Linked DNA regions of Drosophila melanogaster. The protein of the gene in region 1 interacts with the protein of each later gene in a pairwise test. Each region holds a gene or a part of one and is shown on either strand. Other genes may lie near its edges.

Evidence for each region. Proteins that work in one complex are often made in the same cells at the same time.
Region 2: the proteins of Pura (region 1) and Zif interact in a two-hybrid assay, tested with the Drosophila melanogaster proteins (one large-scale study listed by BioGRID).

Annotation. Positions count from the first base shown.
Region 1 is NT_037436.4:7,591,274-7,596,284, reverse strand, and holds the start of Pura (Puratrophin-1-like), read right to left. Parts: upstream 3,195-5,011; 5' UTR 3,008-3,194; coding exon 2,840-3,007; intron 1-2,839.
Region 2 is NT_033777.3:6,455,571-6,459,549, reverse strand, and holds Zif (Zinc-finger protein), read right to left. Parts: upstream 2,463-3,979; 5' UTR 2,394-2,462; exon of another isoform or gene 2,334-2,393; 5' UTR 2,264-2,333; coding exon 2,120-2,263; intron 2,058-2,119; coding exon 1,441-2,057; intron 1,384-1,440; coding exon 1,249-1,383; intron 1,148-1,248; coding exon 877-1,147; 3' UTR 728-876; downstream 1-727. Other genes in the region: CG9727 (uncharacterized protein), read left to right, coding at 3,529-3,979.

The DNA.
Region 1 (5,011 bases):
CCAGTTCAGTTTACTTCAGCTCAGCTGACTCAACCGCTCGTTGGCCGGCAGAAAAACGCTCGCGGAACATCAATGGCAGCAACAACAATAAACACAGCACACCCACAATTATCGGTGATTTATAGTGGATGTGGATAGGGATATCTCCACTTTGACGTGCGCTTGGTCACCGATTGCATTAGAATACAATCAGCGAAGGAATACATTTACATACATTTCCGAGAACGTTGCTTTTCAATCTAATTGTTTGGACTTTCGACAACTCAAAAAATATACATATAAATAACCAAAGTATTATGCAGATCAATGCCCAATTATTGCGGGCTGCAAGATTGCTTGGTTATGCAAGGAAAATGATTAAAAAATTAAACAAAAACTGGACTATGTTCTATTTTATGTAGTAAAATCCCTGGCATTACTGCTACGTCTTCATTATCATAACTAAATTTTTTATCTTTATGTATTTGTATAGTTAATACTTCTCTTCCCAGTTCATAGAGTATCTTATAGTACAGTATCTTTCACTTCCATTTAGTCAGCATTTCCGACTGGGGACTGAGTTCTGTTTTATGCACAATGTTATTGTTTGCCCCGCTGAATAGCCGCCGCCCGTGTTTCATGCCCATCCCTCTGCCATAATTGTGGATACAATGCATCATATATAGACATCTTCAACTCCTGCCTTGAACTTGGCAAGTTCCCATATTATACATATGTATATACAAAATGAAGGGCTGGCTGTCCACATATATTTTGTTTGCTACTTTGTCGGTGTTTAGCTGAATGCCTTTTGACGGGCATTTGTTTACGATGCCAGACGCAGGCTTACCCTGGAACGCTAACGAGCTCGGGATTCCTTTGGTTCCTGGCTTCGAGATCCCCATGCGATTGCGTTATCCGGAACACGCGATGAGTGTTTACTTCGCTCTGGTTTCACGAAAAAAAAATCTGAGCAGTCGCTGAAACTTCAAGTGGTGCGAATAAACATTTGCCAGCGGGATAAACAATATATGGGCTCCACCGATGGCCCATAAATATAACTATTAAGTGCTCTTCCCGGTGGGTCTGCCATATATTCCACTTGCGAATGCGAACGGGCATTAGAATAAAGTTGCACAGCAAATTGGGTTGTGAGTAAGAGTATCAATATTTCCGCAGTCAATTAAAATCAATTAATTCCTAAGCTTTTTGTGATTCACTAGTTCGTGATTTGATTCCGGGCTTAATGACTACGTATATCATATATCATATGCCCTTTACAAATAGTTTTCTAATTTACGTTAATCATATGCATTATAATATTTTAGAATTTTACAATTAACTTTATGCATGCAATTGCCGCATTTCAGCTATTTGAAAATTCAGTTTCCCTTCAGACCAGTAACATAAAAATAAATCACCCATTTTGCAGTCTATTGGTTTATATCAGTTTGCAGCCTAAATATTAGAAAACTTTTTAATATGCCATGGGCGTTCAGCTTAACCCCTACGTGCTCTGTTTGAGATCCGCATTGTTACAAACACAAAAATTTCGAAATCGCACAAATGCCAGCTACAGATAATTGCCAAAAATCACCGGCAAAGTCAACTCAACTTTCATAAAACGGCATTCAATTTGATTTGCACAATTTGGAGGCCTCTTAGCGGCTCCTCGACTGTCGGTCGGTTTTCACATTTGTGGCATTTTGGCGTTTGTTTGAATTGATAACAGGCTGAAAGTGCCTTTCAAGCTGACAGCCATAATCGCTCAACGCCAACTGTTTGGCGGGCTAAAATAGTTGGGGGGTTGTTGGGGAGTTTTCCCGACTGCCAGGGGATGGAATTATATAGAACCAAGCCTATGTCTCCGCCAGGTCGATGGACACACCCATCCAGGCAGAGCGGGCGGAAAGCGGAAACGGAACAAAGCCTCAGACAGTGGCCAACTTGGGCTCAGACCAATTCAAACCAGCAACTCCGATGGAGAAATTATAGCGAGTCACGCGAGTGCTAAACTTTTCTAACCCTTCTTCAGCAGCCGGCTGTGCCCCGATTCGCAGGAAAACCAGAATTAGCTAAAAATTGCACCGAATGCCCGAAATGATTGTAGTTAATTGAATTTGCAGCCTGGCTGAATAACTTTTAATTGAATTCCAGCTAAAATCTAAAGGTTGTGAGCTGGAGTGATGACCCACTTGGGGATCTAGTGCAGGATGATCTAAGTTGGGTAATAAATACATAACTCTAATTGGATAGTCAGAAAAGGGACAAAAACATGTTCAGGGTTAGTAATTAGGCATACCTTGATAAAATACAAAACTTATTTTGCCGGCCTGTATAATAGAGCACTGACTTTATTGACTCTAGAAAGTGCTAAGTACTAAGGTAATGAAAAAAGTCACTTTTTGCGAATAATATTAATGACTACACAGATGCTTCTATTTATTAAGTTGTTCTTGTAGATTAATGGTACTCCTGTGATCAGTGTCAATTTCATTTTGGCTATGCAACTTCGTTAATATTCTGTTAAAGCTGGCTATTAAAAAAGTAGTAAACAGCTGTTTAGTAATGTCTAAAGCAGCCTTAAAATATTGAAATTCGAATAACACTCGCTCATTGGCTTTCGTAATTGATAAATTGAGCAACTACTTCAAGAGAATACCCTAAATACATAGCTATTCTATTTCCACATTGACTCTATCCAGTCAAGTCTATATATTTATTTGTTCACCAATGATCTCATTTCAAAGCCCATTAAATTCTGTAGCAACTGAGATTAAGTATATCAGTTTAATGGCTTTAGAAGTGGCTAAATGATGTGGTCACGTTGCTACTACCCTATTTCTTTCGGTGTACTCACGTGACACTGCCTTCTGGCCAGTCGGCGCCTAATCCACTTGAACGCCTCCTGGCGACGCCGGACAAAGGACATACTGGAGCGGTGCCACAGATGCAGGACGATGACGAGGACGCGCTGCACCCAGACTCCCAACCGCTCGCTCCACACTTCCCGGCGCAGCTGGAACATTAAGCACAGCACTCAGTCCGATTTTCAACGGAATCAAATACCATAACTTTCGCGAATGGCTAAGCACTGCGATATTCCTGGGCGGATTGGCCAAGACGGCGGGTAGCTAATAGAATTTCACTTTTGTTTTGGGGGCGGTACGCGGTACGGAACCGTTGTTACTTCAGTTGCGTTTGTTGTTTGACTGAGAATGCCGCCGAGTTTGTTTCTCCACCTCGGCAAACTTTGAGTGAGTGTGAGCAGTAGACTCCTCGACTTGAGACTCAAGACTTGAGACAGAGAGAGAGCCCTGCACTTGCGATTGTCACCGCTACTGATACTTATACTGTTTTTTTTTTTATTTTAACGTTTTTTTTTTTTTGTTGCTTTCCGCGTTTTGTTTATACAATTTTCTGGTGCGGACCGTGTGCGTGTGGCTTACTGGGGAACCCAGAAAAATCGTACTACTCGTACATAAATAATGCAATAAGTTGGGGCCCCACCGAATCGAGACAAAAACAGAAGGTGGAAAAATTGAAAAAAAAATCGAAACTGTTTTTGCATTCGCTGCACACATACACACACACCCATCAAACATCACACCTCTTCTGCTGTCCGAACACTCGAATACTTGAATACTCGGCTTTTAACCGAGCTTTGCACTCAATTTGATTGCCGGCAGAAGCGGCTGCAAAATCCACGGTAGTCACATGCGACACATGTGAAACACGCAGGGGAGGCCCATTTTACGGTGAAGGCGAAGGTGTTGCTTTTGTAATCGGCGGCCTAGGCACATTGGTCGCAAAACAACTAAAATGGGTGGTCAAATTTGGTATGTGACTCAGTTCAAAATATACAATATACATATATATCCAAATTAGATTATTAAATGGAATGTACAATTTGGAATAATCAAATATTTTTGAAATTATCTTCCTTGTCAAGTGGCAGTATACGACGTTTCATGTTAATATTTAATATGTTAATGTTAATGTTTAATATTTATTATTTAATTTAGAAATATTAAAACAAAGAAAGATTAACGCCCATGGTAGTGCAAAATTTGTTTTAAAATTAAAAAAAATATTTTATACACTTTTAATCGGGCATTTCTCCATATCATATTACCACTGTACTTGCACTAGTTCGTGTGTGGGCGTTTCTAGGCGATCCCTTGTACCGCGCCCAGTCTTCGAAGTGCAAGCGCCGCTAGGCGACGAAGGCAAACAAGTGTTTTGGGTGTCTGCTATACTCGTAAAATGCGAGGAGGATAAAAGCCCATGGAACGTCTATCGGAAAGCTTTTGGAGCGTAGATTAATGTTACTGGCTGTGGTCGGTCTGCTGGCCGTGTTGCTATTTTGTTATTTACCCGCTCGTTGCCAGTACGGTTATTTATTTATTTATGCTAATGTTGCTGGCAGAGCCGCTGACGCTGCATTTGCATTGTTTAGAATGAGAACAGCGAGAAAACGAGCGCAGCAACAAAAAGGGGGCACAGACAATAACAACAACTATAACAACAACATGTGCAACAGCAACTGCAGCTACAGCGGTAGCAACAAAAACACGACAAGTGGCACTCACGCGACAAAGGCCCATATATAAAGTGTTCTCATGGTTATCTCGTTGCCTGTGCGATACTTTCAAGTGTTTCACATGCAGAGGAAAAATTGATTTTTATCAATATAATAAACAATACACATATTCACATACATAATTCACTCACTGCAAATCATTTTCATTAAATCCAATTCATAGTTTTAAGATTTCACAAATTTGTTTAAGCACCCTAATAATATGTACCAAAAAAAAAATTTCTCACTGTGTGCGGATATTTTGGATACAAGCACATAGAAAGTTCGAAGTTCCCATCGCGTAGAAATTGATGGAAAATTCTCAGCACGTTCGTCAGTTGGTTCTGCTGCTCCGCTTGATTGACAACTGGGCGTCGGATCGCCCAGCTCAACTTGAATCGTTGAAGTATGGGCTTGAAATGCACCTGTGGCTCCAAACTTCGACGAAAC
Region 2 (3,979 bases), on another chromosome or scaffold:
TCCGCAATCTCGCCACTAGGAAAAATATCATAGCAGCTTCAAAAGGAAAAATATTGGATACCATTTTGAATTTTAGAAATTTGTCATGATTATAAATATCACAGAAAATAAGTTTTAAACTCCTTTTCTAAACCAAATTTTGGAATAAATAATATGACTAGCGCCTTGGTTACCTATTTTGAATTATTGTACCCAGCTTTGCTTGCAGTGTATCACCACCCGTAATCAAATACAAAGCCCCAGGGGCCGAAAGGCTTTACCAGTCCATAAGAACATTTTTTGTTTCCGCTAAAATGATGATATGATACACGGGGGAGTTCAAAAAAGGAGACAAGCGGCCAATGAAAAAAAAAAACGCATTCAAGTCATGTAATTTCGGAACTTCCTTTGATATTGTACATTTGTTGGTGCTTTGCATGCGCTAGGTGCAAATTGGGTTTTTTCCAATTTCATTTTATATACCCACGGCGTCATGAAGCCACCCATATTTATTGCATAATTTTCAGCATAGCTTCCCGCGCACACACATTGCGAACATTGATTGTGGAAATAACTACGGCCAGTTGTGACTTTTACCAACTAGCGTACAACTAGATTGCCAGATTTTCTCGGGCGTGTTACATTTCAAATTGTATTGTATTGTATTGTATGTATTCAAATTATCAAATAAATTAATTTTATGAACCAAATTCCACATGCTGCTAAAACATCACATACGTTTGATATTCTATTTTTAACAAAAATAACCTTTATTTACGTATGAAGTTCATTCTTACAACTATGAATACGCTATCCGTTAGCGTTTAAGCTAGTATTACTGATTATAAGGGATTATATCTGGAAATAAGACAGTATACTCTACTGAATTTGATTGCGTCAGTGAGCTTGAATTCGGATCTCGTTCCCGCCCCCCTGCTCGGCCACCATTTCCACCTTCATGCTCTCGGCCAGCATTACGGCGTTCTGGTGCAGTTTGGTCTCCTCGTGCTGGCGCATGTGATGCAGCAGACGGAAGTCCTTGTTGCAATAATCGCAGCGGTACAGTTTGATGTCCGAGTGGATGAGCTCGTGCTTGGTCAGGGAGTGAGCGTAGGCAAACGCTTTGTCGCACACCTTGCACACGTAGGGCTTGATGCCACGGTGAACACTGATCGGAAAAAGAAAAGTTAGTTATCTCTGTCCCGAACTAGGAATATATTTAAATGGCCCATTTTGAGGCCTCTCCGTGAGAATAACATTTCTACTCACTTTTCATGAGACTTGAGAACACTTTCGTAGAAGAATTGACGACTGCAGAAGCTGCACTTATAGGGTTTGCTGCCCGTGTGGGAGTACATGTGCTTCCTCAGTTGCTCGCGCACCTGGAACTTGGCATCGCATAGTCTGTGAAGGCGGGATTAGGGTTATCGCTTTAATATGAAATTTACCGACTCGACTTACTCGCATGCATATTGGCAGATGCCGTCATGGCGTCTGCGATGCTCCATCATCCGGCCGCGCTTTTCGTAAAAGTTTCCGCAGACGTCGCAGATATAGCCACCCTTCTCAGTGCCGTCCGATGTTGTTAGGGAGTTTAATCCGCGACGAACCCGGCCGCGCCGCGCCTTCAGGCTTGCCTTGGCCGCCTCCTGCAGCGCCAACTGCTGCGATGGTGTCTCTTCGTACTGCTTCTCAGACTCCAGGACGATCTCGGTCTGATCGGAGTTCATCTCGATGGTGTAGTTGTCCTCCAAGTACTCGATGGTGTCGCCAATGCACTCCTGCTGATCGCTGGTGTCCACTTCCAAGTACTCCTCGTGCCCCTTTTCTTCCTGGTGCTCCTCTTCCCCGGTGGTGGTCTCCTCCAGGATGTACATCTCCTCGTCGCATTGCTGCTGCGAGCCGTCCTCCTCCTTGATCATCATCACATCTGATTCGTCCAGCAAGCCCAGTTCCCGGCAGTACTCCTCAATCTCCATCTGCTTGCGCAGCGCCTTCTCGCGAAACTGGTAGGCCATGTTGAGTTCGACCTTGCAGGACTTGCAGATGCCATCGGGTATGTGTTCTCTGTCGTTCAGCTGCATGAGGGATGGATGGATGAATGGTCAGTTCGCATTGCCAGCTCTAGCGATTCACTTACATTGCTGTATGAGACTCCCAAAAGTTGAATCAACATCTCGTTCGGCGATTCCTCGCCTTCCTCGCGGATCTCGTCTAGGCGCTGCAGTCGCTCACTCTGCGCCAGGCAGACCCGGCACGTCTGTGGGGTAAGCTCGACGCGCATTCTGGAATCCTGCTCGAAATTTAATTTAAAGAACCGCTCGCGTAGTATTGTAGTGTTAAAATTTGTGTTGCTAAAGTGTTGTGTAAAGCGACTGAAAAAAGAAACGAAAAGACATCGCCATTTTCCTTACCAGGGCTGCATAGCATCGGCGAACACGATGTGGTTCATTTTGCTGGTTCCGGGAAGCGGATTTTTGGTTAAATATCTGATAAACATGTTTGCTGCTTGTGACAATACATTGGAAATATTTGTTCCTTTAACCATGGCTAAACGATATGATATGATAACTGAAAGTATTCCCCAGTGTGCCTATAAACACAAACAACTTGTAAAATGAGAAAGAAAATATTAATACTTCAAATATTCAAATATTATGAAAACAATTATATATATATTTATATATTTCTTTCATATTTACGTATATTTAGATAGAGTAAAGAATTCAATCATAAAAATACCAACGTCTTACATTAAATATTATTTAAAAAAAGGCCTAATGCGCTTAAATTTGCCTTATCAATAGAAAATATTATGTCCAATACTGACAATACATCTCACCAAAGATTTAATTTAGCTAGGAACCAGTTCTCTATGGCTCATTTTTTTGACCAGTGGCGATAACGATGACAGCAAGATCACTAAAAGACTAGCGTTGCATGTTTATCATATACAAGCTAACATTGCGTAAGGTGAATCTGCAAATTATATACAAATTATTAGTAATTTACTCATTTATTTATGCGAAATCGCAAATACAACACCGTGTTTACATCCGAAAGCTCTGGCAAAAAAAGCACATTTCTTAATGCAGCCGTCTGGCAACGCCACATATTTTTCGAGACGCAGAACGCAAGATATTTTCTTATCTCTCGTTAAAAAATGGATTATTTCGGTTCAATCGGTGCGTATCTGGGAAAATCGCATGCTCGTTGGCAGTAAAGAACGCCACGCACTTTCACGTCCCACGCCCAGCGCACTCCCGCCTGACGGGAAAATGGGAAAGCAACTATATCTGGCATCCGTATCTTCGTCCGTCGCAGCCGTCAAAATGTTCGTCGCGCCAGTTATCGACTCGGCAATCTCCATCTCCTAAGGCACACACACACTCAATAGAACGCAGTCCAGCACTCACACAGGCAGCCACCTACGTAACCTGGCAGCGGAAGCGCCCTTAATCTTGGCCAGAAACCACAGCAGGCAGAAAACAACGAGGGAGCAGCAGCAGGCGGAGGGAAACGGAGGCGCCGCTAGCACTAGCACCTAACATGTCCGAGAAGCACGGCCAGCTGGGTGCGCAGTGGACGAAATCAGCGGCGCCAGCAGCAACAACAGCACCAGTCTCCAATTCCATTCCCATACCTCAACCGATCCCTGTGGCACTACCCCTCCAGAAACCCAACGCCAATCCCTATGGGAACTGCAGCCTACAGCCCGCGGATATAGTCTACAGCGCAACCAGATTTCAAGGACCTGCTATCCATGCAAAGGGCTCTCCTTTGACCATTACGCCCGTGGGCCCTGTCGGCGGAGCACCTGCCTCTGCCCAGATCTCGCCCACGAGTCACACCCATGTACCTGTACCTGTAGCCACGCCCAGCGGCTTTGTGCCGCCTCCGTTTTCCAATGCCACCAGCGCCAGTGGAGGTGTCTCCACTTCCGTACTTACTCCGAATCCCTTTGCCACGGCGAGTGCAAATGCTGCTGGCCTGGCCTTTG